Linked DNA regions of Astyanax mexicanus. The protein of the gene in region 2 interacts with the protein of the main gene of each other region in a pairwise test. Links are inferred from orthologs where the notes say so. Each region holds a gene or a part of one and is shown on either strand. Other genes may lie near its edges. The genes, in order: cep44 and rnf8.

Region 1 (16,767 bases), on a different chromosome or scaffold from region 2:
ATTTCCTCACTAAATATCAGAACTTTGCACGTTTTAAAGGGCAATGTTCTGGATATTTTAATGGCATTTAAATCCCATGTTTAGCTGTTTCTATCATTTTAAATACCCACAGCAAGCAGAGACGAAGGGCATGGCAGAAATAATCATTGATTAATGAACTAATTGCAAAAATAATTGCCAGATAAGTCGACTACAAGAATAATCATTAGTTGCAGCCATAGTTACTTTGGTACTGTGGTTGTATATTTTTACATTACATTGCACATGCAGTACCAGTCAAAAGTCTGGACACACCCCTTCTAAATTAATATGTTTCTTCAACGTTTTTTACATTTACATTGTAAATTCAATATTGAAGACTATATTAAAGCTCTACAGGAACACATGCAGAACTATTTTGTAAACAAACAAATCAAAATATATTTTATGAGTATCAAATTTATCTTTGAGGACAGATCTGCACACTCTTGGTGAGATTTTAACCTCAGTGTCTTCATGAGGAAGAGTCACCTGGAATAGTTTTCTCAGCATTTTAAAGGAGTTCCTGGAGGTGCTGAACAGTAGTTGCTGCTTTTCCTTCACGCTGTGAAGCTCCAGCTCATCCCAATTAAATCACCTCAAATCAACATCTCGCACACTCTCTGTCTCACTCACGTTCTCTCTCTCTCTCTCTCTCTCTCTCTCTCTCTCTCGATATTATAATACAGTAAAACAAAAAGCTTTAGTCTGCCTGGCCTAAACCACACTACACTATTATTACTGCCCCCTCTCAAAAATACAGGGAACTAGCAGAATTAAAAAACAAAAAAACAAATCAGGATTATAATAATTTTTTAAGTGATTGACACCAGTAATATCAATTATCTTAATTTTGTAAATGTAACATATATATATATATATATATATATATATATATATATATATATATATATATTTTTTTTTTTTTTTTTTTAATTCCTAATAAAGCACCACAAACATGCTCACTGTTTGTTCCAAAACATACCCAGTCCTAGCGACATTATATGTTATTGTCCCATCTTGAAGTTTGGGAAAAAAAAAAAAAAAAGGTTATAAGTATTTTTTTTCAGTATGAAAAAAATTCAGCCTTAATTAGTATAATTAACATATAATATGAAAATGGTTCATCTTACATATTTGCAACCAACCCCTGCAAAAACTAAAACTGAAACAAAATTGCAATGTTATGTTTTAATGTTATGTAAAACTAATGTTTTATATGTTGGTCTTTTAAAAGTAATAAAATAGGGAAACAAAAAATTAAAGGTTGAACATATATTTTTGTTTTGTATGAAAAACAAGTGAATTTTCCTAATTGAACCATTACCTGTTAGAGGTAAGGGACACTATTGCACTAAATATTGATTATATTGATAATAATTAGCAATGGAGTTAGTAATGAAATACTCACACTGCTTGTTAGGATTTTTTTTTTTCATAATCTTTTTGATAATTAAATATGTGACGGGTCAATATGACCCGGGAACACCACTGCTGTTCCTGACAAAGGAACATAATAGGAGAGTTAATATATTTAATTTAAATTACATTAAAGCATACAAATAAAACATTGACAACATTGAATCTGCAGATTTCTGATCTGTTGGCTATTGCTCACAGTTAAATACTCATATAACAGAATCCTGTCAGACTGTACTTAGCCTCAGTCTAATGAAGGGATTTGTGTTAATATATTTATATTAGTGTTATTTTCAGCTTTACAGTAAATCTGATCCAGTCTGCAGTCTAAATGATCTGAACACTTTTCAGCTGGCTGTGAATAAACAGACCTAGACATCCCAGCATTCCTGATATCTACTGAGACCCGAGCAGGTGGTTCTGCTTACAGCAGCGCATCACTGATGAACACGAGATCAAGAGGAGCTGTCCTTCTGACTTCATGAGAGAGCAACCAGACGCAGCACAACTTCCCCGAAGAGTTTCAGCTTTTATATATTTACACCAACACATTTCTGTTCAATGCAAATATTGATGTTTTAGATTTACATTTAACTATGTCTCTGTTTAATCTATGTAGTGTATGTAAGAACAGGGCTGGATGATACGGAAAAAAAAAATCTATAATCATAATATATTTCATATCGATATCGATACAAACAGTATAAAAGCAATCCTCCCTGGTTTGTGTTTGCACACACTGATTGAGCTGCTGGATCATATGGTAAAAATATTTAATCACTATATTTAAAAGACATTTTCCTTATTTTTCAGATTTTGAGTAAAAATTTAATCTGCTGGTGTTGATCCACTGTGTTTTATTATCAAGTCTAAAGTCAGTGCAGTTTTGTTTTCCCACAAAATCTTACAGCACTTCATGCTTCCCTCTGCTACTGACAACTTTTATCGAGATGCTGATTTTATTTTTTCAGCAGGACTTGGCACACTGCCCACACTGCAGAAATTAACAATTGGTCTTATATAACATAAAAATTTTCTAAAAGACACTAATTTTTGGGTTAATCATTGACAATAAAAGTAAAAACAATATATATTTTGAACTGAATTACTGAAATAGTTACTTTTCAATTATATTAATTTTATTTTGAGATGAACTAGTATACATGTTTAATATTGGACAACGACACTGGCTTAAAATTCCCCCCACATCAGTGCATCCCAAGCATACATCCCTCTAGCCCACACCTGGCATTAGACATTAGTATGGTGCCAACAGATCCATGTATATAGTAGTTAAATGCATTTTGAAGAGCCACTAAACCCTAAACCATATTTTTTTAAGTAATAGCTGAAATGTGTTAATAAAACACACCAGTCCTGCTTAAAATCTTTATAAACATTTCCTAAACTTAAAAAAACACTTTATTATGGTGATTTCTGGCTCTTTAGCACCCTCTCAGGTTAAACTGTGCTATAGTTACAGTTTCTGTGTACTTTCGTAGGTAGACAAATCACATGTCTGCGTCTAACTGCTATCAGAGGCACACTGCTGCTGCTGTAGCTCAGCCAATCAGCTCTCCCTCCTGCACCGTCTCTAAACCCATACATCACCCACCCCTCCCCCTTTTTAAATTTGAGCTGAGTTTAGTTCCCCTTTAATAGGGGTGTCCACAAACATTTGGCTGTATAGTGAAAGTTAAAGGTTTTTTGCATGTAGTCCATTAAGTCGATTATCCTGCAGACGAACGCAGCAGCAGATCAGATGTACTTCAGTAATTTACAGTAACAGTAAATCTGCTCTGTGTAATTACAGTGGGAATACGGGAATATGAGTCAGCCCTGCGTCCAGTCCGAGCTTCTGTTCAGCTCCAAACCGCCGCTGCCATAGTGTTTGTTGTAAATCTGAGCTGGATTTCAGGCATTAGTGCCGGTTGGATGGAGTTTCTGGGGAATCACAATTCGAGACGTCTATGTTGGAAATTCAAGTATTCCATCATTTCATTTCCATCCTGCAAATCAAGCAGCCATGTGGACGGCAGCAGAATGCAGGAATCACATAATCTATAATACAATTCAGCTCGTTTTCCAATCAGTTTAATTTGATCCAGTCTAGTGTTATGCCAAATTCAGCACCCCTGCCAGGAAAAGCACCCCCTATTTCTAAATAATAATAAAGCAATTATCTCTGCATTTTTTGTCAAAAAAAAAAAAAAAAAAAAAAACGCATATGCGCTGCTGAGAGGGGTGCTTTTCACGGTGGGGCTGCAGATTTAGGCACTACTATGGTGCTAAATTTAGCACTCCCGCCAAATAAAGCACCCTCTCTCAGGGAGAGGCTGCAGGTGGCATGTATTTATTTTATTTATTTTTTTTATTTTTTTTTTACAAGTCATCGTAGCTTACAACAGTATCTTGGGTGTTTCCATTTTCCAAATAAAGTTAAAGCTAAGAAGACATGAGTGCGCACTCCTGAGAGGGGGTGCTTTTCCTGGCGGGGGTGCTGAATTCGGCACAACACTAGACTGGCTCCTATTGGACTGATTGGAAAACGAGCTGAGTTGTGTTAGATTGGTTTCATTCCTGCATTCTGCTGCTGTCCACATGGCTACTGAATTCAGCACAACACCGGGCAGGGCTGCAGGATTAATCTCATTATATCATCATTACAGTCTGAGTTTCTGTGATGAACACAGTCTTACAGGCTGGACGACAGAACGGATAATATTACTCAACAAGTGCAGCATCAGAATGATGCAATCACACTGTTGGGAACAGAACATTAGAAGCAGAACATGTGCTATAAACTCAATTACAAAACACACACAGACTGATCAGTTAAAAACTCACTGCTTTCTTTCATTCTGCTGCATTTTAGAGCATTGCTGTGAGAATCTCTTGTGGAGATTTCCATCTCCACAACTCCGCCCTTTCTTAAATATTAGATGAAGCTCCATCATTTCAGAAAACAAAGCTCTACCACTGTCCCACAGCTCAAAACTGAGGGCTTTATACCCCCTATTCTATTGCAAAAACGTCTCTACAGGGAGTACCAGTACACTTAATTCGGATAGTGCAAACAAATCCTGTTAAATTGGATGACATGCATAAAAAAAAAAAAGTATATATTTTTTTTTTTGTAAAATGTCTTGTAATTTTTCTATGTGATGAAAAAGGATACATATTGTGTATTGTACAAATGCCTTTACTTGTCATGATGTAGTATTCATAATATAACTTTTGGCCATATCACCCATCTCTGTACACATTTTTGTATTGTTTGTGTATTTATTGTATAATTGTTTTAGTTTGCAGTTTATATGCATGCACTAAATATTCTGCAATATTTTTTGCTGCATTATATTATTTTATGCTATATTATTTATTTTGCCACATTATGAATATACTGTTATACTATTATACTATATTCCTGAAATGAATGAATTAGTTTAGTTTTCCTATATCGCCAAGTATATCGTTATCGCAAAAATACCCTGAAATATCGTGATATTATTTTAGAGCCATATCGTCCACCCCTAGTACACACAAACAAAAAAATTGGACCCACCTTAAATTCAGTACTTTTTCACTAATTTCATGTTCTATATTGTAGATTAATATTAAGTAATCTAAACTATGAAGAAAACCATATGTAATTATTAAATAAAACAAAACAAATAAGTGTTAAACAAACCAGAATATGTTTATTTATATATATATATATATATATATATATATATATATATATATATATATATATATATATATATATATTGTACCTTTTGCTAAAATGTCAGTGCACATTTTGGCTAAATTTACTTAGTCAGCTTCATGAGGTAGAGTCACCTAGAATTCAGGTTTTCAGTTAACAGCTGTGCTGAACTCATCAAGAGTTAATTACTTGAATTTCTTGTCTCTTAATAAAGTGTTTGAGAGCATCAGTTGTAAAGTAGTGAAACGGTAGAGTTACAGGTATACAGTGAATAGCTCTGTTTAAGTAATGCTCTAATCCATATTATGGCAAAATGGCAAAAGAAAATAAATGGTGGAACTGGCACTCATTAGGACTGCCCCAGGAAAGAAAGAGCAAGAGAGTTCAGAAAAAGTGGTAATTTGGTTTGTTTAACACTTTTAAAGATTACTTATGTTTTATCATAGTCTGAATGACTTTAGTATTCATTTACAATGTAGGAAAAAACATTAAAACATATTAAAACAGGCATAATAAATTACCTGTTATAATCCACTTCTCTGGGGTATTTGAGATATCTGAGGGAGGTCTGCAGCTTCTTCAGGCTTCCCTTCAGATCACCTGTAGCCATTTTTCAGTCTACCTGCAGTTTAACAGTGAAATAAAGCGATTAACTAATGAAAAACGTTATTAAACACAAATATACAGCTTTTTTATATTAATATTAGAGCATTTCCGCTCCTTACCTTTGCAAAACAAGGCGTTGCAGCTTCAGTGTATGTATACAATCCACTTTTTGCGGTTGTTTGAGCCGTTTTAAAGAGTTTTAACGAGTTTTGAAGTGTTTTAACGGGTTTAAACTCGATAAATAGACGTTTATTTTGTTTGTATTTTGTTTCTAGGCGCGCTCACAGCGGATTTAAAACTGTTTAGCTATCATTTCACAGCCGCACATTCATCCTCCTAGCTGAAAAAAGTGGACCGGATTTTAGAAACGGATTTTAGAGTTCTTAATCACAAATATACTATAGATATATGCATATAAATCATACGATTATTTCAATATGATATCAAAAAAGTATCTTTTTATTTATCTGCCTCTCTGTATATCGAGCTATCTAGTTAACTAGTTACAGTTATAAAAATCCATGCCAGGATTTGGTTCAATCCGCCTGGGCGGCTCTTCTGAAGCTGGGCTTCAGCAGAGCCGTCCAGGCGGATGAAACGAAATCCTGGCATGGATTTTTACATCCTGGATCTGAATTACATTTTTTTTTTTATAAATTAGTTTAGACATAGTTTCTTCTCATTCTTAAATACTTTTCAATATATATCACTTAATTTTAAGACGACAAGAGAGATATTATTATAACGAAAATCAAAGAAAGGACAAACAAACAAAAAAATATAATTATTTATTCATTTATATATTACTTCTTCGCAAAATGCATAGGGTGCAGAAATATAGCTTGGAAAATAAATAAATAAAAAATATAATAATAAATAATAAATTCAGAATGGGCGTGTTTTCACCAGGAGTCCTTCATCTTATATACTTTTTAGCCGATCAAACAAAGTCAGATAGAAATATCTATCTATCAGAATATCAATATCCAAGATTCGTTTATTCAGCAAAAAATAACAAAAAATAACATTTTCTCACTGTGCTTTTTTTTTTTTGCATTGCACTACTAATGTAGCCATGTCTATAGTTAGATATACTGTCAAACTTTATTTATGAGCAACCCTGAAAAGATAAGAAAAAATATATTCAAAAAAACAAAGTATTATGTGTTCTGTCAAATTTTATGTGTAGTTTATTAACGTTTTAAATAAATGTATTTAATCCCTACACTTTTTTAAGAGAAAATGTGATATAAGTCAGTTACAAAATGCATGTGGCTGAAATTTTACCAAAATACAGGACAGATACTCGTCATATGAAGTGACCAGTTGATAGTTACAGACTCTTAAAGAAATCTTCTAATCTTCCAGCTAATTCACTTTTCTATTTTTATTTTTTATATATATATATATATAATTTATTGGCCACTTTGTGAGATTTGCTTCTCAGTTACTTCTTTTGAATTGTAATATATTTTTAAATATTTGTATATATGTTTTACATTATTTATGATGTATTTGATTGTAAATGCATTTAACATTTTAATTAAAAATGAAAATAATAATAAATATAAATAATATAAATTATTATCGAAAGTGCTGTTCTTTAGCACGCCCTGCCAAAACGTGCTGATCCGCGTGCGTCACTTCCACCAACAACAAGAAACGTCAAACGTGACGACGACACTCGTTTTTACACTGCATTATATTTGTCATTTTATTATTTTATTTTTAACAAATACTTTATATTACTGATGGAAAAAAACGACACATGGCTGTTTACCAGCACTTTAAAGATAAAAAAAATAATAAAATAAATAAAAATAAGTAAGGAGAAAGAGAAAGTGGGCGGGGTTTATGATGGGAGGGGCGGGGCTGAGCACTGAGAGACTCTGAGCGGTGGAGGAGATTATAAACCTGACCGCGGATTCAGCCTGCTCGGGTTTTGAGCCGTTTTTGGAGCTTCTGGGGAAGAAATGCGCGCTTTATCTGAGCTTGGGGGCTGAAGGACATTTCCACGCATCGGCTGCTGTGAACTGTTACGAATTTCGTCGCGGCGGCGGTGAAAATAAAGCCATAAAAACACAGGTGGGTGGGTTCAGCTACTGGAGCTATGACAATTTTAAATGCCAGCTAAATCAGCCAATAGCAGAGCTCGCTGGTTTGATTGATGTGCGCTGTAGCCAATCGTCGGGGAGTAAGGGCAGGACTTGTTCGGCAATCTAACGTGATGAGGGATGGCGATTAGTCAGTACTTTGAAACATAAACAGAACTAAAGTGTGAATGTTTATATGCTAAATTTTGGGTTTAAACGCGAGTTTAAAGTTAAAATTAAGTGTTTTAACGTGAAATTGAATTAAAAACATGTAGTTTAAAAGCTGTCAGTGAACTTACGTAATGATGAGCAGCCAGGCTGGTAGGCAAATTTAGGGAAAACACATTATAAAGCCTGAATAAGTTTAATTAACTTACATTTAGTCTAATAATTTGAGAAAAAATGTTGCCTTAGCGTATTTTGAGTCATTTTTACTAAAAACATAAGTTAATTAAGCTTAATGATTTAAGTTATAGTGTGTAAATTTAAAGTTGAATCAATTGTTGTTAATTTTATAATTGAACCAATATTATTATAATTAAAGAAGTATTGTGTGTAAAATAATTGATTTTAAGTCATTTTGTAGCTTTTCTCTTGTTTTTGTTTTAAACATAACAGAACTTTATATGACAGGACTAAAAGTTAATTATAGAACAATAATAATACATAATATATAAGAATATGATTTAATTCATTGTATTCAAGGCATCTCAAAATAGTAGATATTTAAAAAATAAGAAATCAAATAAAGGCCATAATTACAAAAGTACAAAAAATAACTAATATGACTAAGATATCAGGACAAACACTGAAAAAGTGGAAGTCACTGTAAAAATAATTTATTTCCAATCATTTTCGAACAAATCTTTTCATCATTCATCATAAATGTGGACAACCCTCATAATTATTCTCATATTATGATTATTATGATTATTGTTACTTTTTATTATTATTAGTTTTTATTGTATTTATTTATTTTTATTCTGTTTTTTTGTCATATCTTCAAGAAGTTATAATATGAATAGAAATATTGTAATATTATTTCATGACCATATCGCTCACCCCTAGAGTCAGAAACTATGGGAAACAACCAGTATATAAATACAAAGTGCCAGAAGCCAATAGAAACCGACTAGTTCATTTAAATCATAGATCCTATTCATTTATTTTTTACATGTGACCAAAATGTTTTGAATTGTTTGGAAATTAAATGAAATTAAGTTTTATAAAAAAGATGTAATTTTGAATTGTGAAATTTAGGGTACTGCTGCTAGAAGTGAGTAATGGAGTGCTGTTGGTGTTTTCTGGGTCTCTATAGATGTACACAGACAGGTAAAAGTAGAGGTACAGGTAAGCAGCATGTGCCTAAACTCACCTGAGTGACTGAGTGGAAAATGCTGGAGCTGAGTCAGTATTTACACTCAACACCAAACACTGAACTGTGGAAGAGTGTGTGTGTGATTGTTCACAAAGCCTCAATCAGTTGTTTTCTGTGTGAAGTGTCTAACAGCACAGATAGTAAATTATATAATATTTATTTATACAATATGTCAGAATAGAATTTAGTCATAAACACTACCTAAAGGTACCTACAAATATAAAATGCTGCACAGAACCAGTCACAGACCTGATATTACATAATAGATTTTTGTAAATATCAATAAGTAAAATAAAAAAGGCCCAGTTCAAGACAATAATATATCCTGGGACTTTTCTTTTAACCATAACAGAACTTTAAATGATAGTGCTTATATTATAGAAAAAGTATTACATATAATATATAAAATATAACTTACTTTCTTATGCTCAAGGCACCTTCAAAATCTCATATATAACAAGTATATCATATTTTTTTTGGACAAATTTACTGATGATCAGTGATGTTTTGGAGAGACATGTCATCTGCTGGTGTTGATCCACTGTGTTTTATTATCAAGTCTAAAGTCAGTGCAGTTTTGTTTTCCCACAAAATCTTACAGCACTTCGTGCTTCCCTCTGCTACTGACAACCAAAGAGCACTTACTCTCTTAATACCTCTAACACACTAACTACTTCTAACCTCATTTCCTTCTTCCTCTCCTTCACTCCTCTGTCCTATTATTCCCCTTTGTCCTCCTTTTATCCCTATCCAAAGATGTTTTTCCTTTAAACTTATTTTACATTGTACTTGACTATTGTAAGTCGCTTTGGACAAAAGCGTCTGCCAAATGTAATGTAATGTAATGTAATGTAATGTAACCTTTATGGAGATGCGGATTTTATTTTCCAGCAGGACTTGGCACACTGCCCACACTGCCTAAAGTACCAATTGGTCTTATATAATATTAAAATTTTCTGAGACACTGATTTTTGGGTTTTCATTGGCTGTAAACCATAATCATTAACAATAAAATAAATAAACTCTTGAAATAGATCACTCTCTGTTTAATACATCTATATAATATATGAGTTTCACATTTTCAACTGAATTACTGAAAAAAAGTTACTTTTTTTTTTTTTAATGCACCTGTATGTTGGATATGCTGTAGATTAATGAACTGCTCTTTCGCTTGAGTTATGGATGAGAGGAGCCGGTCACACTGTACCGGCTTGTTTCCTCCACACACCACAGAGAATGTGGTGGAGCGGGTTAAATACCATCTCACCCAAACACAGCTCACTACTCACTCTCACTCTTACCCTCACCAGATTACAGAAAAACATTAGAGAAATCATGAATTAAGAAGTCATGAATAGAGCAACAGATCCCCAAAATCCCTTATGTTCCATATATATTAAATACAAAAGTTTTAGTCCTCAGTAGGGGTGGGCGATATGGCTGTAAAATAATATCACGATATTTCAGGGTATTTTTGCGATAACAATATACTTGGCGATATAGAAAAAACAGAAAAAGAATTAATTAATTTCAGGAATATAGTATAATAGTATAACAGCATAATCATAATGTGGCAAAATAAATAATATTGCATAAAATAATAAAATTCAGCAAATAATATTGCAGAATATTTAGTGCATGCATATAAACTGCAAACTAAAACAATTATACAATAAATACTCCTAAAGCTTCACAGTAAATAATAGACTACTTTTAAGACAGAACATCTATATTATCAGGATATGGATTTTTAATATCACGATATTTCTGTGTCACGATATATTGTATGCGATATAATATTGCCCACCCCTAGTCCTCAGTAGTAATGGGACAAAATACTACAATATTACAATACATATATTTACGTATACTTTTTGTTTTTGAAACATTATCAATATGTGGCTTTAAATATGGATACTTTTTTATTGAAACATATGTACTCTAAATTCTAAAAGAAATTGATAAACAAGTCAGAATATGTTTTATATTTTAGATTCGTCAAAGTAGCACCTCTTGCTTAAATTAGACAGCTTTACACATCTTGGCTGGATTTTCCCAGTTAGTTTTATGAGGTAGAGTCTCCTGGAATTCAGGCTTTCAGTTAACAGCTGTGCTGAACTCATCAAGAGTTAATTACTTGAATTTCTTGTCTCTTAATAAAGTGTTTGAGAGCATCAGTTAAAGTAAAGTAGTGAAGAGGTAGAGTTACAGGTATACAGTGAATAGTGAATATTTGAGTAATGTTCTAATCCAGATTATGAGAAGCAACAACTACTCAGTTGTTGTTTACTAAGTAAAGAAAAAATAATACTTTAAGAAAAAATGAAGATTAGTCAAACATTTTAAAAACATTGGAAGTATCCTGAAGTGTCACCGCAAAGACCATCATAAACATGATGTTGAAACTGGCTCTCATCAGGACCAACCCAGGGAAGGAAGAGCAAGAGTTTCCTCTGTTGTACAGGATAAGTTCATCAGAGTTTCCAGCCTCAGAAACCACAAGTTAAAAAACAGCTCCCCAGATAAGAGCATCTAAAAGCTTCTTCACAGAGTATTTTTTTTTGTTTGTTTAACACTTTTAAGTTACTACACGATTCCATATGTGTTCCTTCACAGTCTGGATCACTTCACTATTCATTTACTATGTGGGGGGAAAATTTACATACTGAGGGAGAAGGTGTTAAACCAATATGAATAGAGTATCACAGTATTGTGATATCTAGGGCTGCATAATATATCGTTTTAGCATTGTCATCGCAATGTGCGCATGCGCAGTAGTCACATTGCAGGACGTTCAAGATTACTTAAGGCAATTAAAACGAACACGTCATGTTGTAAAGTTTTTATTTCTTCACACAAGAAGTAGATACACAGCGCTGTCTCTGTGTCCGTGTGAGTGACAGGCTGCAGCTGCCTGAGAAGCAAGAGGGGGGGGCAGGAGTAAACATGAGGTAACAGCCCTCCACATGGTTGGGCACTGTGCACCTCAGTCCAGCACAGTTTTACAGCTCAGATATTTCCAGTTACAGCTGAATTCACGCTTTTAATCCTAGAAAAACAATCTTATTTACATTTTAAAAATCCATTTAAATGCCTGATTAAAGGGGCGATTACTGTTGTTTTGCTGTTTTACTCGGGTTTTGAGAGCTCGGCGCTGACTCAGCTCTTGATCGGTCCGGACCCGAGACAGCACGTGGGTGGGGGCGGGGCTGGTAATGTCATGGGCCCTGCATTGTTTAATATCGCGATATATATTGTCAAAAAAATTTGCAATGTAAAATTTTTCCAATTAGGTTAGGTTAGTTTATTTGTACCCAAATGTAAATTTGATTTACAGTATGCGAAGCAGCATCTTGTTACAAAAAGAACATTTACCAAAGCAAACACAAACATACAGTAAGCAACATATATATAAATACAATTCCTTAAGTCTCTATGTCCTATTCATCCTATTTGCTTGAGTTATGGCATCTTGGTACTCTTAATCTCTGTCCAGATGGAAGCAACCTAAATTCACTGTCCCCCAAAATTACATCAGTTACCTGCTTTAACTGTCTGCCATACAAGGTTTCCAAGTTGAGTAACGGCTTACCAATCAACTTACTTGCCCATTTTACAATCTAATTCAGGCCATTCCTCTTTTTAAAGGCCAAATTACCAAACCATGCAACCAGGAAGAAAGCTTAAACTATTGTGCAGACCTAGTGATATTGTTGTTAAGATATCACAATGCAATAAGAATATAGCAATATATTGTGATATGTTTCTCAAAAGTGTACAATAATGTGTTTTTATTGATAATTTAGATGTAAAGACTAAAATCTCCTAAAAGTCGCTAGAAGTTGCTAAATGACGTCATCGTATAATTTGCATAATACATGTTTTTGAAGCTGTAAAGGATTAACATTGTGAGAGAGAAAAACGTGAGTAAAAACACTCTAAATATGTTAGAAATGATACAATTAACTTCAACAAATGAACAACTTCTGTTGCTTTTTAAATAGGCAGTCATGTCTCAAAATAACTTCATTTTTATGTAAATTACATAAATCATTCTTTTGCCGTGTTGTTAAATGTTATTATAAGAGCAGTTTTTTATTTTATATATATATATATTTTTTTTGCTTTCTTAAGTTTTCTTTATTTTCAAACCTATTATAGACAAATTGTTGAATAGCTTTTTACAAAGCGGGGCTAAGTTCAGGGGAGCGTCGGTGGTGAAAATTAAAACTCAGAGAAAATCGATTTTCATGAAAACACATCGTCCTTAACTGTAAATTTGAATTAATCGATAAAATCGATTAATCGCCCAGCTCTATGTCAGACAGTCTGTTCACGAACATTAGGACACTGAACACAGTGTATTTCACAGTGAAATTCCTGCACAGAGCTGTATCTGCTGCTGCTGCTGCACGGTTAAGTTGAGCTCAGGACGGTTCAGCAAAGCCATTAATGCAGAATAAACACGGCGGATTCTGAGCCGGGGTGAGAGACGCAGCTCTCTGAGGAATTTAGATAAAGGCTGATAAAGTTCTTAATGCATATCACTGAGAGAGGATTACTGCCACTGCGCTCAGGACAGGCTTCAGTCCTCATAACTGACGGCTGAACCGCCGGCTCCGTGCTGCCAGTAACAGGCAGGGATATACGGGTTTAGCCTCAGTGCCGGCACGTCTGAGGAGGGAGGGGTTTAGATGCTATAAATGGGAGCACTAATGTACGCTGCTGTATAAGAGCCAGGTTATGAAGATTATTACTCTTATTTTATTGTATGTGAACAGTAGTCAGAACTGTGCCAGTTCGTATGTATAAAGTAGGCATGCATTGAAATTAAATTTTTAGCCAGGAAAGTGAAAAAAATTAAACACTTTTAAACACAGTTATAACCTATTCGTTTCTTTCTTTCTTTCTTTTTTTTTTTTTTTTTTTTAGAATTTTTTTTTTTTTTTCCCCATTTTCTCCCTAACTTACGAGGCTGATTACCCAACCGACTCATTAGGACTCCACCTATCACTAGTGGTGCCCCAACAGGAGGGTAAACTCTTTTTGTATTGTTGCTGATGCAGCATTGCTGAGTAGCATCATCGCTAACGCTCGGAGGAAAGCGCAGTGACTCGGTTCTGATACATCAGCTCACAGACGCAGCCTTGTGCTGATCCACATCTCCCTAGGAGTGATGAGGGGAAAGAAAGAGCGCGAGCTACTGTACCAACCCAGCTAGAGAGCAAGACCAATTGTGCTCTCTCAGGGCTTTGGTAGCTGTAAGAGCAATACAAAAAAGAAAAATATCAATACTAAAAGAAGTAAATACGAATAAACAAACGAATAGCATTAATAATAAAAAAGGACACTTTTTTGACGTCGTATAAATTCCCTGTCAGTATAATTATTACAAAAATCTTCCTCACAGTAGAAGATATAGTGAAATATTCTAGAATCTTATAAAAATAACATCCGATATTATACTTTGTAATGTTTAGGTTAATATATACAGCTCTAGATAAAATTAAGAGAGCACTTCAGTTTCTGAATCAGTTTCTCTGATTTTGCTATTTATAGCTATATGTTTGAGTAAAATTAACATTGTTGTTTTATTCTATAAACTACAGATGGCATTTCTCTTAAATTCCAAATAAAAATATTGTAATTTAGAGCATTTATTTGCAGAAAAGATGCAGAGCTTTCAGACCTCCAATAATGCGAATAAAACAAGTTCATATTCATAAAGTTTTAAGAGTTCAGAAATCAATATTTGGTGGAATAATCTTGGTTTTTTATCACAGTTTTCATGCATCTTGGCATCATGTTCTCCTCCACCAGTCTTACACACTGCTTTTGGATATCTTTATGCTGCTTTACTCCTGGTGCAAAAATTCAAGCAGTTCAGTTTGGTTTGATGGCTTGTGATCATCCATCTTCCTCTTGATTATATTCTAGAATTTCCTGCAAAATTAGTCTAGGGCTCTAAATTATAAGCTGTAAAGTGCAGTAAAACATGCATTAGCTCAGGAGCCTCACCAATAGCAATAGGAAGCACAAATGAAGAGAATGAACGTTAAGAGAATAAATGCAGTGTTTAAACTCTGAAGGAGTTGCTTCAGGCCAGTAAAAGCAGGTCAGGAGTTTTTGGTGGAGAGTTAAGTTTCAGGGTTTGAATTGAGCGAGAGCCGTGTCGGGACTGGTAATGGGGTCAGCCGGTTCCCCCTGCTGTTCTGCCCCATACAACTCCATAATACTTCCAGATTGAGTTCATTCACATGGTCAAGAGACAGATTTGGCACTGACTGAGATTCATAAGTAAAGCCTTTTGTGCAGAACATCAAAGGGAAGGCGGGTGAAACATAAAACCCTGTAGTACTGACTTTTTTTATACTGAGCGGTTCAAAAGCATGCCAGACCTGACCTCTGTGGCATTTAGTATTATGAAATTAGGTAAATCAGACAGGACTATGACGTCACAAAGCAGCATTTTAATAATTCAGTAATGACAGGTCTGAAAGCTCTGCATCTTTTTTTTGTTATTTCAGCCATTTCTCATTTTCTGCAAATAAATGCTCTAAATGACAATATTTTTATTTGGAATTTGGGAGAAATGTTGTCTGAAGTTTATAAAATAAAACCACAATGTTAAGTTTACTCTAGGCCCGTCACAATAATTGCAATATTGATTTATCGTACAATAAATGAACATGACCCAAATAATTTTTGATAATCGTGATTTCGTCTATTGTGTTTATTTGTACAGGGGTTGGACAATGAAACTGAAACACCTGTCATTTTAGTGTGGGAGGTTTCATGGCTAAATTGGAGCAGCCTGGTGTTCAGTCTTCATTAATTGTACATTGCACCAGTAAGAGCAGAGTGTGAAGGTTCAATTAGCAGGGTAAGAGCACAGTTCTGCTCTAAATATTGCAATGCACACAACATTATGGGTGACATACCAGAGTTCAAAAGAGGACAAATTGTTGGTGCACGTCTTGCTGGCGCATCTGTGACCAAGACAGCAAGTCTTTGTGATGCATCAAGAGCCACGGTATCCAGGGTAATGTCAGCATACCACCAAGAAGGACCAACCACATCCAACAGGATTAACTGTGGACGCTGTAAGAGGAAGCTGTCTGAAAGGGATGTTCGGGTGCTAATCCGGATTGTACCTGGATACCGTGGCTCTTGATGCATCACAAAGACTTGCTGTCTTGGTCACAGATGCTCCAGCAAGACGTGCACCAACAATTTGTCCTCTTTTGAACTCTGGTATGTCACCCATAATGTTATAGTGTGCATTGCAATATTTAGAGCAGAACTGTGCTCTTATCCTGATAATTGAACCTTCACACTCTGCTCTTACTGGTGCAATAATGTACAATTAATGAAGATTAGCCACCAGGCTGCTCCAATTTAGCCATGAAACCTCCCACACTAAAATGACGACAGGTGTTCCAGTTTTATTGTCCAACCCCTGTAACTATAAATAACAAAATCAGTTTCAGAAACTGAAGTGGTCTCTTTATGCAGCCATTAGTAGGAATATGCAGATGCTATAA
Region 2 (16,258 bases):
ACTGTGGCAAAGGACATGACATAACAGTCCTAGATTTTACTAATGCCTAGCTTTCTCAGGGTTTGATTACATAATTAGCAGCCCCTCCTCCGTGTCACATGTATGCTCGTAGACAGGGCCCTAATTATCGATTGAACACGATAAGGCAGCAGGAGTGTGAAGGAGTTAAAGGTAGCTGAGGGGAAAAATGTCGCTGACGTGGTTCTTTTCATGACACATTGCGGCCGAGTGGCCTGGATGCAGCAGCAGTGGCCCCGGGCCGTCCGTCACCGTCTCCCTGCTGAAACTATAGCTGACACACACACGCTTCCCCGTGCACTGTGCCACTAATGGACTGGCATGACATAGGTCTCTCCAAAACGAATGGTTCTGGATGCTGGCAGTGAGATGTACTCTCCATGCAGAGCCTCAGTGCAGCGTACAATGACTTTAACAACACAAATCAGCATATATTAGGGTAAAGGCTTTGAATAAAGTGGCCATTGAGTAGAAGCACAACACAGGCGTTTCTAATAAAGTGGAAAGTGAGCAGCAGGACAAGATGTGAGTTTCAAATAAAGTGGCGAACGAATGGACGTACAATGAGTTTATAATAAACTGGCAAGTGTTTAAAGTAAAGCGGCCAAGTTGTGGCATGCCTCGGTAGGAGTTTCTAATAAAGTGGCCAATGAGTGGAACTACAAGGTCCGTGTTTCGAATATACCAAACAGTGAGAGGACGACCAACACAGGCGTTGCTAATACAGCAGGCAGAGGGTGGATACACATGGTATGTGGTCTCTTATACTGTGACCAGTGAGTGGTAGAACAAAGCAAGTGTTTCTTATAAAGTGGCCAGTGAGTGGAAGCACAAGACAGATGTATCTAACGAAGCAGCCAGAGTAAAAGGCAAGTGATTATAATTAAGTGGCCAAGGGGTGAAACTACAAAATAGATGTATCTTATAAAGTGCCAGTAAGTGGAAGCACCAGGTATGTGTTTCTAGTAAATTGGGAAGCAAAGAGTGGGTTGTCTTCTTGAAAGCACAGCAATATTAACGTACTCACAAGACCACAAGGGGAATTGTTTTCCATCAGTCTCATGAAATAAGGTCTATGTTTGAGGTTTTAAGTCTATGGCTTCAAACTAAACACATAACTGGAGTATTGAATTAAGTACATCATGATGTCAGGCCATTAAGATACACTTTCGAACTAGGCATAAATAAATGATACCATTAGGCTGCTGCCCCCTTGTGTTCAAAGTTACACATGCAATATTAACCTGTGCTTGCAGGCAATAAAAACAACTATTTGAAGCAACACAGTAGCAATACGCTGTATATGAGAGGCTGATCATGATACATCTATCCCTTGTCACTGGTCCTAACAAAACTTTGCTTTGAGACAGTAGTTTCTTATTCATCATACAAATTATTTTACTCCATGTCATTCTAAAAATTTTTCTCCTGGTTCACTCAAAAACACAAATTTTGAAAACAATAAAGAGCACATGAATCTGTAATACTATAAAAGATAATCAAGTTTCAAAGTACTGATGGGACAGTGATGCTATCTACATGTCTAAAATCAAAAGTACAGCAAATGCGAAACAAATAAACCTATTTTATTTATATAAGGAAACAAAACAAATATGGTACATTGATCTACAATCATATAAGAAACAAAAAAACACAAATATGATCTGTACACTTCACATTCTTCAAGTGAGCGAGTGTTTCACTAGGAACACTGTTATTGGTTTTAATCACTCCATGAAGACGAGTCACTGGTGTCGACGCAGTATGGTATCCTGGGGTTGATCAGGTAGCCCTCTGTGGATAAGTAAACTGAAGAGTCATTGTCGCTGCTGCTGCTGCTGTCGTCCTGGATAACTACCACTGCCACAGGAGCTTTGCTCTGACCTGAGTAGACAAACACATATCATGGTTCAGTCCAGCACCTGTATAAGTTGTGAGTGAGGTTGAACACAGGTCAGTGTGCTCATGCAAGGCGGTGTGAATTATTAGAGTTTTAATGAGGCCGGATAGCGGGTTCCAGATAGATGGGACTTCACCTTTCCAAAGTTCTGTGTATTATAAGTGTCACACGTGTACAGAGAATACGTCATAGAAGGCATTACCCCACACAATGGACAACACAGTGGGTAATAATGATTGGTTTCATCTTGCTAGAAATGCTAGTGTGAATAGATAAGCTAATCAGAAGTCACATCAACATTCAAGTACAGGAGACCCCCACACGCATATCCTCCAGGTGAGTGCTGCTTTTTTAGTTTCCATTGGAAATTACAATTCAAACCAGTACGCTAAATTCTGTACCATGCCTTTTGGCATGTCAATGTATTTCTTCTTGTTTATGTTCAAGTTGAACAGAAAAGTATTAAGTATATTAGGATTTCTTCAAAAAACCTTTTTAATTGTTTTCAGAAAAAAAAAAAATAGTTTTGTGGTCAAACAAAAGGGCTTTGTTTTATTTAAACATGTAATTAACATTAATTTTAACACTGTTAAAGTGCATTAGTGCATTATTGCACTAATCTCCAGATTAGTGCAATAATGAATTTCGACACATTTTAGGAGGTGAAGTTCAGGCAGTTATCTTGATCAAAGACTATTCATGATAAAAAACAAATATTCAATATCGAACAGCAATAATGAGACAGAAACTGAAGTAGATATTCGAACATCAAGAACCTTTAGAGAATAAATGGCACTTATATTAATATGATGTTAACTATTATAATTGATGTCTATTTGTACCATGATGAATAATAAATAGATGACCTAGTACTACAGTAAACACTGTTCCAGCAGAGAGTTATAGAAATCTGGGCCAAGGCTTGGCAAGAGACTGAAATGCGCTAGTCTACCATAATAATTTCCACACCTTAAACAGGAAAGTGTAACGAACCTTCTATATGCTGGAATGTCAATCATATTTATATGCAATAACAGTTTTGGCTAGCTATGAATCTTAAAAGGCTCACATGTAATGGGAAGTCATTGTCTATGTGGTGCATTCAGCATCAATCTCTTACAGCAAATGGAAATGATTTAAAGGTGCATCTAAAAAACATAATAATCATAATTGAAAAGTTGAAAAGCCAAAAGTCAGTTTCTCAGAAATTTTGATATTATACAAGACCAACGGTTGGCAGTGTGGGTCATCGGGTCATCTTCTGGTGTTGGTCCACTGTATTACATCAAGTCAGCTCAGCCACCTACCACAAAGCAGTTGAGCACTTTACGCTTCTCTGGGCTGGCATGCTTTATTGTGATGCAGATGTAATTTTCCAGGAGGACTTAGCACACTGCACACACTGCCAAAAGTACCAATACGTCTTATAAAACATTCTAATTTACTGAGATACTGACTTTTGGGTTTTCATTGTCTGTAAACCATAATCAACAATAAAAAGGCATAAATGCTTAAAATAGACCAATCTGTGTGTAATAAATCTATATAATAGAGCTTTGCTTTTTAATAAAATTATTCAAATAATTGAACTTTCAACAGTATTTCATTTTTTTGAGATGCACCTGTAGCACTTGCTACAGAAATGCAAGGTGAGAACGCACCTCTCACCTTTCCTCTCCCTAATTAGTGCCACTCTCCTCTCCCTCATCTCAGCACTAAGGTTCTCCACCATGCGATCGATGCAGTTGTCTAGCACCAGAGAGCGGGTCTGGGAGAGGATCGCCTGCCTGCAGATCGGACACTCGTCCTTTCGTCTCCGCCAGTCTGAGATACAGTGAAGACAGAAACTGTGTGCACAGTTCAGCGTCACAGCCTGAGACATATGATAAGAATACAGACACAATCATTGACAGTCATTCACTGCAAAAACAATCAAGCTTTCTAGGGAAATCATAGACTCCAAGTTACCATGTAACAATCAATGACTGATTTAAGTAATCAGTTAAACAGCTGTAGAGCTTTACAAGTTATGTATAGCATAAAAACAAACAAAAGTTCAATAGATCCACACAGGTGGCCAACTCGTGTTGCAGAAGTCCTGCGAAGCACGCTCAGTGCCACATGAAGGCCATACCTCAATAAAAAGCTCAGAGCAGATGATGCACTGCAGTTCATTTTCCAGCACTTCAGTCATCTGTGTAACAACCTCCTCTTTCTGGGCTCGTGCTTTCTCCTTCTCCTCCTGCATGAAAGAAAGTACAGTGAAAATAAATTTCTAAATTCATTATAAATAGAAATGTTATTTTAAACCATAATTTGTCATAATAGCTGTACAGTATGGCTGTTTTAATACAGAAACAGTATTGTGATTTTTCTGACACAAAAAAAGGTGCGTTCACATAGTAATCTGATAACCATAGAAAAACTGATTTTTTCAGTAATCTGATCAGATCATTTACCTGGATTTGAATAATCAGAAAATGGAAAAGGCTTACAAAAAACATCCTGCTGCAGCTTTTTGTGAAGACGGGCCCCCTTTTTATGATTTTGAATAATACACAAAATTGCCCCTTTTGCTGCAAAGGAGGAGACAAGCTAGTTTTGAATGTGCATCTGTCCTATCCAGTGTTCATGTTAATGCGTGTACTGAGAACAGCAAAAAAAAATCAGAGTACGGGTACGTTATACAAAAAAAATCGGATTACTAGAACTACCTCTTTATCACGTTTTCTTAATCCACCATATTTGCCTTAATATAATCTGAGCAATTGGAGTAAATTAATAAAATCAGATTATTGTGCTTATCAAATTGTGCCAAAATGTCTATTCTGCCAAAATGTCTAATGAAATTTTGGCATATGATACGGGCTCTCTGTCCATTAGTTTCTACCTAGTTAAATTCCAATTAATCTGCTAGTAAATAGTAAGTATCACTAGGACTCCTGCTGAATCAAATGTGAGAGGAAAACAAGTTGAAAAGTTTTGGTGTAAATGTAATCAGATTCTACATCTCAGAGGAATCACCTTGGTAACCTCTAACTCTTTATCCTTGGCCTGAAGAACCTCCTTAAAACCTTGTCTTGCATGTTGAAGCTCTTCAATCACTTTTCGGTGCTGCAATTTAAAAAATAAAAAATAAATAAACAGATACGATATAAATGCTGAAATGACTGCTACATGTAAGGGTTAGTATGTAGGGTTACAGAGCTGTTTCATCTCCTACCTCTTTCAAAGCCTCCTCCAGTTGTTTCTTTAGGCCATCTTCCTTCTGCTGAGCTTTCGTCACCTAGAATAAAGAATGTTTTTTGAAAAACAACAACAACAACAACAAAAAAACACTCTATTGGTATCAAAGCAAGCCCCAGCACATGCTTTCACATTGTTTTTTCATATTATTGGATATACATAGCCCTGATTAAAATAATAATTGGTAGACAGGACAATAGAAAACTGAAACAACATTGTGACTGGCTAAAGGACAAATTTTACATGACAGTTTTATGTAGTTTTTAATGCTTTAGTTTGTGTTATTTTTGTCTTTTTATTTAGTATGTTATTTATCTTCCTGCTGTTCTATAGCAGGAGACATTCAATTTGAATCTGAATGTGAGAAAATCCAAAGGACTAAGGTGATAACAATGAACAAATGATACATTGTGAGTGCCTCACCTCCAGCCTCCTTTCCTCCTCACAGACAGATTTCTCCAGCATATTCACACGCTGCAGGGCCATTTCGTGCTGGGAGTTCAGCTGCCCTTGTAAAACCTCCATCTGTTCCTGCAGCTCCAACATTTTTCTTTGCTGCTCAGGACTTGTGTTTTCCTGCCCCTCTAACTCTGCAGCTTGTTTCTGAGTGGCCCCCATCCTATCCCTCAGCGCTCGCAGGTTGTTATTGTAACGCCGTAGTGTAGCCAGCTGCTGGCTGCTGTTGCTGCAGTCAGCAGAGCTTCCAGGTGGGTCATCAGGCCACCTGCAGGCAGGTATATCTGTTGGACAGGGCTGAGCACTAGCTTTGTCGGTTGCAGAACTGCGATAAAGCTTGCACCTGGAATCCAGAGTTGTACCTGGTTCTGCTTCATCCGTACCAAACTTGCGCTTTGACTTTTTGGGTTTAAGGGCCGAAGCATTTGGTCCAGCTTCGGCAACAACAGCTTTAGTCAAGAAATCTTTGATTTTGCTAAGACTTTGGTGAATAAGGACGTACTCAAATTCCACCGGATTGCTATCCAAAGGGACACCGAACCTCACAACATCATCTTGCTGTAGGGTGTAGGGTTTCCGAGCAGAAATGCGAACTCCATTTACCCACACTCCATTCATGCTCTGAAACAGCAGTAAGAATTACAGAAGATTTAGAGGGTGTAAATCTCAGATGTCAACGTGATTACAATCCTTTTTAGCAAACGATTCCATGCACCATTAAATCTCAGACATCACTATAATTTAACATATTCTCTTATAAATCTTATTTTATTCAAAGCTATCACTCTCTATTGTTGTATGTGAACACACAGTATTGGGATGGTCTTTGAGATAGCTGAGTGTTTGCTTCTCTTTCATGACTGATGTGATGGTGGAAGAAGGACATTATTGATTAGTACAATTTCCCCCCACATTCTAGTGCATAGTGATCAGAAATCTGAGTTATTTTAATTGGGGGAAAATTATAATGATCACCACCACAATGACAGTATTATAAATTCAGGAAAAGATTAAGAGTTCAAAAGGGTTTTGGCACAAAATTGATAGGTACGGTAGTGTACCTCATTGTCAGTAACTGTCCACTGCCCATCCTCCTTTTGCTTTAGCATACAGTGATTCCTGGAGATCATCAACGGACAACTCACTGACAGGATCTGATGAGTGACATTCAGGCCACGACCAATGGTAACCTGGGTTTAAGAAAAAGGGAAAAAAAAAACAAAAAAAAAAAACAACAAAAACAAAATTAAGGGATTGCAGTAACAGGATTTAACAAAATAATTACCAGTATATACACAAAGACCATGTTCCACCAAATTACTAATTGACACTAGTTAAGGTGTGCTTAAATAATGTCCCTTTCCATTATTACTTCTAAATTCTTAAGCATTAAAATGTGTCAATAATTAACAAAGTGTCAATAATTTGTTGAGACATTACTTATCAATGCTTTTTACTGTTACCTGTAACCCATATTATAGAGTATTAGCATTGCTGTTAACACTTTTTTTTTTTTTTTTTTTACAAATACTTCCACTGAATACAGTCTTTCATTGCAACAGAAGAAAATGTCTACAAAAAAAGAAAGAAAAAAAAAAAAACACCCTACGCTGGCACTTTTTATGCTGGAACTATATATTAACCTATGAGGGCAGAAAGGTAAATTAACTTGATTAATTGAATATCTACTTTAATGCAATTTTCAAAATGGGTTAATCGAGATTGCACAATATTTCCTATAGAGAAGCTGCCAGAGGAAATCTCTGTAGAGGGACATTTGCTTCTGTCAGAAACCTGTAAAGAACTCTTATGTCATTAATTTTTAAATGTTACACTTTCCTAACCTCCCACACCTACACAGACAAAACACTGACAGAAATAATAAGGGAATTCTGAAGCTTTAAGTCTCCTCTTGTAGGTTAGGTAACTTAGCTTAGCGTAGCTAGCCTTCAGTGAGCGTCACAACGCTGCTCAGAGTTAGCATTAGCATTAGCCTTGTTTACTATAAAAGCGTTAGAAAACTGCACCTCAAACTCTCGCCCTAGCCGTTTTTACTGTAGTGTCCCGTGTTTTTTCAGAGTTTGAGGTTAAATCAGTTTGGATAAAACGGGACATTATAGGCTACGTGGCAATTTGTAGGGTTGGTTAACCTAGCCTAGCTGAAACACACAGGAAAAACAGCTAGCTATCTTAGCTCAGCTTAGCTACAGGTTAGCTTAGCTTCATCCAGTACCGTTACCTCAGTGTCTTCGGTTAGCCGTAACCAGCCGCTGTCTTTGCCGACTCGTTTTAAACACCATACTTTATCATCTTGATGGTCTCCTTCCTCAGGCCGCTTCTGATCTTCACCCACCGTCTCCATAATTCTCTCACAGTGTAGCGGGATCACAGCTGAGACTCTGAGACAGCGAGATCTGCTGCTGCTGCTGCCATCTTCACCACAAACCCTGCAGCTGACAGCAGATCCCAGCTAACCCAAGACCCGCGACTAGTGCAAACTACCTTAAACTCCTCACTAACAAATTACACAACATTATACTACTACACAACCCCCTACATTAAAGCACATAAAAAACAACAGAGTAAATCACACAACATACACAACCGATACAAACCGAATTAATCAACAACAACAATCACTAAACTACACAAAACTACAGCTTCTCCACACAAACTACACAGAGCAGCAGATCAGCCCCTGTGGTACAGATGAATTTCAGACTAAAGGCGCGAGGTAAGACAACACCAGCAGCTACTATGTGACAACAGATCCGACAACAACGAGAGGGATTTTTCATGGCGCGCTCAATTCCAAAATAAAAGTTCAACCTATTATTTAAGGGTCCCCTATATAGTCTGCAGTTCTCCTGACTCTGCCCCCCTCTCTCTAAGGTCCACAGAACACATCTGTTTTTACTTTAACTCATTCCTGGCCTTTCTGATCAGCAATTGTGTTTATGTGATTCCTAATCTGAATACTGTAAACGTCTCATAATGATCACAAAATGTCTTGAGATTTTTAATTAATTTAAATATTTCTCATGTTTATAATACTTTAGACTAAAGCACCCTGTTATGGCAAGCTGCAGGGTGAACATTCTGTTTCAAATATATATTTTGCTTTTCTAAAATTTTCTAAAATTTTAATTGCCTCGATATTTTAACACAAAATGGTAGACAGCTTAAGCTCCAACTCACTCAAGTACAGAGACAAAATATAATAAAATATTAGGTGAAATTAATATTATGAACATTTAACAAGATGTTTGTCCCAAGATGACAGATTGAACAGGAAAAAAAAGCCAAATGAATAAAAGGAATGCCTGAATTATTTTTCAGTAACTTTTTTACTAGTCATTTAGATCAAGTTTATTTGAGCAGAAAAACATGTGCAGCTCACAGAGCTTCAGTTCTGATTCAGCAACACAACCACACGCTCTACTGCACCACTAGATGGCGTCAGAATCTACAGTTTAAATCGGATCAACTGAGCTTCCCGTGTTATCATACACTTACCATTCACTTTACTAGAACTACCTGTCTTGTACTCCTATTCACTGACTAGAACACTCTACCATGTGCTTCAGTTTATTGACCACTTTAGAAACACCTTCCGTGTGCTTTTACTCACTGAAGACTTTTTATTAGAAACACCTTTCTTGTTTTCACTCTCTGGCCACTTTAACAGAAACACCTTTGTTGTTTTCACCTTTCGCTTTCTGTCATTGGCTATTTTATTAGAAACATATTTCTTGTTTTTATTTACTGGCTATACCTGTTCTGTGCTTTCTAGGGTTGCCACCTTTCAGAATTTAAAATAAGGGGCGCCCACCATTGCTTCTTTGAGCCATATCCACCACAGGCCCAACACCTGTAAGACGGGGCACCCGCAGCAGTGGTATGTTTTATGCTGTTGTTTTTAGTAAACCACTTATTATAATATTTTATGTAATGATAACGGGACATTGTATTCCTCAAAAATATAACCATTTTGACACAAAATACACAGAAATCTGTACAATTTTTTTAAATCTAAGAAATATTTTTTTGTACAGATAAATACAGTTGTTTTTAGATAACACATCTGTAGTTAACCAGTGCAGCAGCACACAGAGGAGCGGAGGGAGGAGGGCTTTAGTGTTGATCTGTGTGTGACAGACACGTGGATTGTACATTTATGGAATGACCTGTGAAGGAATGACCACCCAAATAATAACTGCTGTGTGAAAGGAACTATTAAAGAACAGGGCGAACAGATAAACATAAGAAATACAGTATGTAATTATAGATCAATTATAATGTAACATGGTCAGTGAAGATAATGGATGTAGAACAAGGTTTGATCTGTGTATATGGGACATTTAATGTTACAAATTGATTCAATACGGGATGCAATATTTATTTCCCAAATAAAGTATGATTCCATATTTTATGGGACGGGTGGCAACCCTAGTGCTTTCTGTCACTGGCCACTTTATTAGAAACACCTTTCTTGTGCTTCCACACAGTGACCACCAGGATAGAAACACCTACTCTGACCTTCACTCACCAGACAAACAGCTTCACATTACACATACTGATACAGCTTCAGGCTGAAGCTCATTAAGCGGCATTTTATGAGCTTCTTCTACTTCTTTATAATTTGTTCAGTTTGTAACCACAGGACCACTGCTGTCTGAAAATTGTTGGCGTTGTGAATCATTGTTTAGCACATCAGTGATGCTGATATGATAGTGTTCACACTGGGCTGTGTGTTTGGTGCTGGTATGAGTGTATAATCTCAGCTATTGATCGTGTGAATGCAAGGAGACAAACTGAGGAGTCACAATTGGCATTAAACTATGTAAAAATATTTCTGGCCAAAAACAATATGTACATTTACAACATTATAGCTTATTATTTTTGAATTTTCTAGTTACAAAAAGAACTGCCACATTAAAGCACTATCAGTACTCTTTTAACATGTTGGATCAGACCATTCAGAATTGTTAAACATTCATCATTTACATCCAGTTTGAAGTCTTTTATGCTGTCTCCTTTGGGCCAAAGCATTAAAACAGCTTTCACTTGCATTTCTGAATTTCACATCGGACTGTGTTTACACACAATGATTTCTGTAAGTGTTCCTTAGTCCATGCAATGATTTTCATTACACAAGTGGATCAGACACAGCAGTGCTGCTGGAGTTTTTACACACCTCAGTGTCACTTCTGGACTGAGAATATTCTCAGTCCAGCAGTGAGCATCGATAATGGACTAGAGGATGACCACCACAAATTGTGTAGTAACAGATGAGATGAGATGAGATGAGGTAGGAGTGTCTAATAGAATGGACAGTGAGAGGACACAGTGTTTAAAAACTCCTACTGTGATGGAATGACCACCCAAATAATAACTGCTTTTAATAATAGAACAACAAAGTAATGTAACGTGGTCAGTGAAAAAATGGATAATGGATGTAGAACAAGGTTTGATCTGTATATAAGGGACATTGTATTTTACAAATTGTAGAATCACTGGAGAAGAACTCATGAAGACCTTTATGGAGTACTCAGGCATAACAATTAATTTACATAATATCAATTGGAATTTGTTTGGATCATAAAATACTGGTATTTACGGAAATTACTTAAAAAAAATAATAAATATGTTTACACTAAACTTGCATCTTCAAAATCACTGTGAAACTCAACTGATTTGTAATAGTGAATTTTAGGGGATCTGTCCACCCAACAACCAAACAACCCAATATCCACACCCCAATACATATTCATGTAAAATCCTGTAATATTACTCTAATGCCTCACTCCATATGGTTATTTCACTTACAGTGAAGGTTCTGAATCTCACAGCTTGTCCAGAAATGCATGTCTTTCAATTTGTCTCTGAGCTGCTTTAAACCATCTAAATTATAAGTGATATAACATTACATTAATATAAAAAATGAAGAAAAAGAAAAAATGGAAGGTTAACAAAGGGGTGGTTCTTGTTAGCAAACTAAGCCCTGTCTGAGGTGTGATACTGTGAGTGAGCGTTTAAAAAATGCACTGGCTATGTATTGGTTGTTGTTTTTTTTTTTACTCATGGAGACTTAAATAGCAGGACTCAACTATGAGTAATACGTGGAGGACGCATGGTTAAGAAGAATAGTAAGTGTGAACAAATTGGATGTCCCCTTAAGGGCATTGACACCTCTGTAGGCCTATTCATAGACTTAGAGGGAACTCACGCTTATGAATGATATGCTACACATCAAATAATACCTGCAGGCATGGACATATGCGTGTTAGAACCCCACTCTCAATAAAACAGTTAAATTATTCTCTCACCTGAACCTGAACCTGCTTTTTACTTTAAAAGAACAACCCAGTATTCATGGCTGACTGGATGGCCACATGCAAACACATTTACAGGATGTATCAGCAGTGGGAAATCATCTGTCTCAGCATATATATATGCAAAATACAATAGGGTTATAGCTTCTGGTCCACATTTACAGGTACTCTGCCATGCACCATCTATGGGCCAGTGGCATTACAGAATCTGGCATTCTGTAAAATTAATTATTTGTAACACATACAGACAGTACTAGTCTAGCAGTTTGCCTTTAACATAAGCACATAGACCGACCCACAGGACCAGAGCTAGACTTTATCACTCCAATTTAATCAGTTTAAACCATAGCTAATAATCAACCTGAAGCATTAGATTACTAACGTAAAAAAGCATCAGTGCATAAAAAGTGCTGTTTAATTTTGCACGTGTGTGTTAAGCCTTCCCAGAGGAGTAGAAGCTGTCAGTAAAAAAGTGACAAACCCACTTCCCCATATTTTAAAATAAACTCTGGTCAAAATAAACACAATAATTACTAATAATGCAGTACTAATATCTGTATCTTTTTTCTACAACAAAAACAAACTTATATGTAATTTAAAGTTATTATTCAATTGAATTCAATCAGCTTTAATCAACTCAATCTCCAATATTCTTGCTAACTGCCTTTTCTTACATTTTACCCAATGTCGGGCCCTGTGCTCACTATATCACTGTGTGCTGTGTGTTCACTGCATGGATGAGTCAGAGACAGAGGTCACATTCCATTATGGTGAAAATTGTGGTGTTGCTTCTTGTCCTGAGTAACCAGCTGCCTGAAAACACTTTGCTATCTTTATATAGTCTACTTCTACTTCAAAAATATCAGTGAACAGTGAATATTTGAACTCTTAGATTGCTGGGCAGCTGTCTAGAGGAGCACATGGCTGCTGTTTATTATGACAAGGTTTAAGTCTCAGTATTTATGGTTGTCTCTGGAACTGAAGTTAGCTAGCTGATTTGATGTCTTGCTGTCCATGCTGTCTCAGATGGTAGTGTAGTGATGTAGGCAAAATATGTTGTGACATTGTCAAGGTAGCTCAACACCAACTGCTAGATATGAATGTTTAGCTGTGTCGTCAGCAGAAATGATCATTTTTACCCAGAGATGACTGGGTGCCTTTTTTCATTAGAATCCTGTATGGGTAGGTTGTACAAGAATAAAAATTGAATTGAGAGTGACCTCTAAATTCCATTTCAATTAAATTCTTGAATTGATATTTTGGAATTAAAATATTGCTGATTATTAAACATTGAGGGAATATATGCTTAATGTTCGTGTCTGTGCTTTTATTTGGAAGAAAAATGTATGTTAAATGGATCACAGTCACCGATATGTGATAAAAATTAATTCTCTTAATTGCAATTAGTTGAATTCCATTTTCTGTAAATCAAATTCAGTGTGATCAATTTAACATCCTATAGCGTGGAACCAATTCAAATTCATTAATTGAATTAAATTCCAAAACTCACAGCCCCAAAGTTTCATAATTTTGTACATTTTTGTATTTGTAAGTTTCAGACACAACCTATAAATGCTTTGGTTACAGTTTGCTTTTTCCTTAGAACGACTGCTTACAAGCCATAGCCCTAGGTTAAGATTCTGAGAGTCTTAGGTAATGACTGGCATCAGCAGTGTGGAATTGAACTGAATGTAGTTTATGGTGTGCAAAAGGAGATGGTGTGGGCCAATTCCCATAATATACTTGGCAACCAGGGTTTTGGCGAAAGCGGTGTGGGCCAATTGCTATATTATACTCAAAACTATAGGCAGACTCTGTTTGGCTTGGTTTGGGGTATTGGGCACAATATTGACATGAGTGATTTTTGCTGGGTATTTTAGACCTCATCTCCTGAGGTGCTAAACATTTTTCAAAACGCTTCCTTTCTTTCCTTAAAACTTTTCCTAAAATAATCATATACAATATATTGTGGTAGTGAATACGCAAGGTTTAAGGGTCAGCCCTCACTGTTTCTCGCACACCACTCTGGTACTGCTCAACTGGAGCCAAAAATAAGCTCTGGGTGGCACATAAAAGCGTCAGTCTCAGTCTTTACTGGAGAAAACCAGTATAATGATGAGCATGATTGCCAGTGCAGTCTAGATCCCAATGTGGCTTTTAAATGTGTTCTGAATCAAAAAGGACCAATACGTCCTGGTATTGCCAGGGTATGGACAGCTCACTGCTAGATATGAGTGTTTAACAGTGTTGTTATTAGCTGTAAGCATTTTCACCCAATAAAACAGAAAACTAGATTTCACAACTAGGTTGCATGACTGGGTGCTTTCCTGCCTCATAATCTCGTCTGAATCACAACATTTATGTTTCAGACACAACCTGTGTTTACCGCTAGGCTCATACATATTTGGAAAGTGACCAAATCTTAATGATTTAGGCACTGCATGCCATCAGACTGGATATAAAATAAAGCAACCGAGATGCAGTTAAAGTTTAGAATTTTAATTTGAATTATTATTTTTTCTTTCTACAAAGCCTCTTCATTTCAGGGACTCAAAAATAATTGGATGAATTAACGTAGTTAACTTAACTAATTAACTACCATTAATAAAATGTTCATTTTTAATACTTTGTTGAGAATCACTTGCAGGAAATGACTGTCTGAGGTCTGGATTGGGCATGGAAGCTGGATGTTGTGAGTTAATAGCAACATATGTCACACCAGGAATTAACTACAATTCAGTTAAGAATTACTTGCTTAATTGATGGTGGATTCACAAGGTAATAGCCAATGCAGTCCATGAAATAGCTTTTGAAATAATTGTCCATTTACCCTTATCTATGGTCCCTTAAAAAGGCTACATATAAAAAAGCTGCAATTCCTAAACCCTTCCTGTGATTACAATAACATACCCTCACATTTAAGCACTTTCAGACTATACTGATTATATAACGGTATCTTAAACATGTTTTGGTAAACAGCTAAAATGCCAAATGTCACTGTCCAATCATTTATTTGTATATATACAGTGAGTTGTGGCTAGGTTGCAGAGCTCTTCATCAAGAATTTCATTGCACAGTTTCTGTGCAACACTTGAAACTAGAAACTAGAGCACCTGCCCCACACACGCACACACACGCAAGAGATTCTGTCCTGAAAACACACATAATAAAACATACACACTTTTACATTTCACTCTGCATCTCTGTGCTTGTGTGGTTTTCTCACCTCTCCCACATTTCTGTTTAGCAAAAACACTCTCCCCACGCTGCAGTGGGGGACGACATATACAACTCCTGCTCAGAGTGGGAGCAGTTAGTGTGAATATTGCCATTTCTATATTTAAGGTGCTTAAATGCAACTTTTTAAAGTTTTGTTACAATTTCTTCAGGCCTGCAGCATTGACTGTGGTTTAATGTTTTCCTGTTATAGCACAGCACAAGTGTTACCACAAGTACTTAACACGACCACTGTAAGTTCTCTTTGCAATAGGTTGGCCTTTGCAATGTGTGAGCCTGCACTGTAAAAACAGAATAGATTCTGTTTGAAGAGTTTTTAAAGTGATTATTATGGCTTTTATTCATCTAAATGCTAATTTTGCACACTTTCATTTGAATTTATTTCATATATTGTTATCCAAGGCTATCCACATATAGGCCTCATAATAGATACACCCAGACTGAGACAACCCTATTGATCCAACTTGTGTTGAAAACACAGAAGAAATATGGCTTTCGCTTTTAACCCATTTTTCAATGAAGACTCACTCATACACATACACATAACACACAGTAATACAGTGAGCACTGTATTACCTTACCAGCTGAGTGATCCTCCACCTCATAAACAAATGCAACATATATGAATACTTTATAAATATTTTTTTCTTCCCTTTATTCACCTTAAAAAAAGTTCCTGGAGTGGTGGGCAGCCATTACTGCAGAGTATGTTGAGTAGTGAGGGTTACGGGCCCTGCTTAAGGTGGCACAGTTTAACAGTGGCAGCCTGTTAAATCTGGGTACTGAACCAACAATCAATCCTTAATTAATCATTAATAACCCAGGTGTTCGAGCCCCTGAGCCAACACTGCCCACTGTAACATTTATGAGTAGTTCATGTCAGTAATTGCAAGTTGACATTAGATCAGATACTTTAGATACTTTATAAAGAAAATGTCACAGAAGTAACAGAAGGGCCAGTAAATATCAGGCATGTTAGCATATGCAACATTAGTTCTGTGCTATATATATTATATTTCTTAAATCAGGCTTCATTACACTGTTATAACTAAAACAAATGTCGGTT

Evidence for each region.
Region 1: the proteins of rnf8 (region 2) and cep44 interact in binary tests that used the Homo sapiens proteins (3 or more experiments, as listed by UniProt). The two-hybrid records come from large-scale screens. The link is inferred for Astyanax mexicanus from reciprocal best matches to the Homo sapiens genes RNF8 and CEP44.

Annotation. Positions count from the first base shown.
Region 1 is NC_064414.1:52,238,720-52,255,486, reverse strand, and holds the start of cep44 (centrosomal protein of 44 kDa), read right to left. Parts: upstream 6,097-16,767; 5' UTR 5,872-6,096; intron 5,769-5,871; 5' UTR 5,757-5,768; coding exon 5,668-5,756; intron 1-5,667. UniProt on the Homo sapiens protein: Centriole-enriched microtubule-binding protein involved in centriole biogenesis. In collaboration with CEP295 and POC1B, is required for the centriole-to-centrosome conversion by ensuring the formation of bona fide centriole wall.
Region 2 is NC_064408.1:85,896,719-85,912,976, forward strand, and holds rnf8 (E3 ubiquitin-protein ligase rnf8), read right to left. Parts: upstream 8,442-16,258; 5' UTR 7,983-8,441; coding exon 7,860-7,982; intron 6,811-7,859; coding exon 6,682-6,810; intron 6,242-6,681; coding exon 5,588-6,241; intron 5,205-5,587; coding exon 5,142-5,204; intron 5,033-5,141; coding exon 4,943-5,032; intron 4,161-4,942; coding exon 4,053-4,160; intron 3,792-4,052; coding exon 3,587-3,791; coding exon of another isoform or gene 3,580-3,586; intron 1,903-3,579; coding exon 1,742-1,902; 3' UTR 1,584-1,741; downstream 1-1,583. UniProt on the Homo sapiens protein: E3 ubiquitin-protein ligase that plays a key role in DNA damage signaling via 2 distinct roles: by mediating the 'Lys-63'-linked ubiquitination of histones H2A and H2AX and promoting the recruitment of DNA repair proteins at double-strand breaks (DSBs) sites, and by catalyzing 'Lys-48'-linked ubiquitination to remove target proteins from DNA damage sites.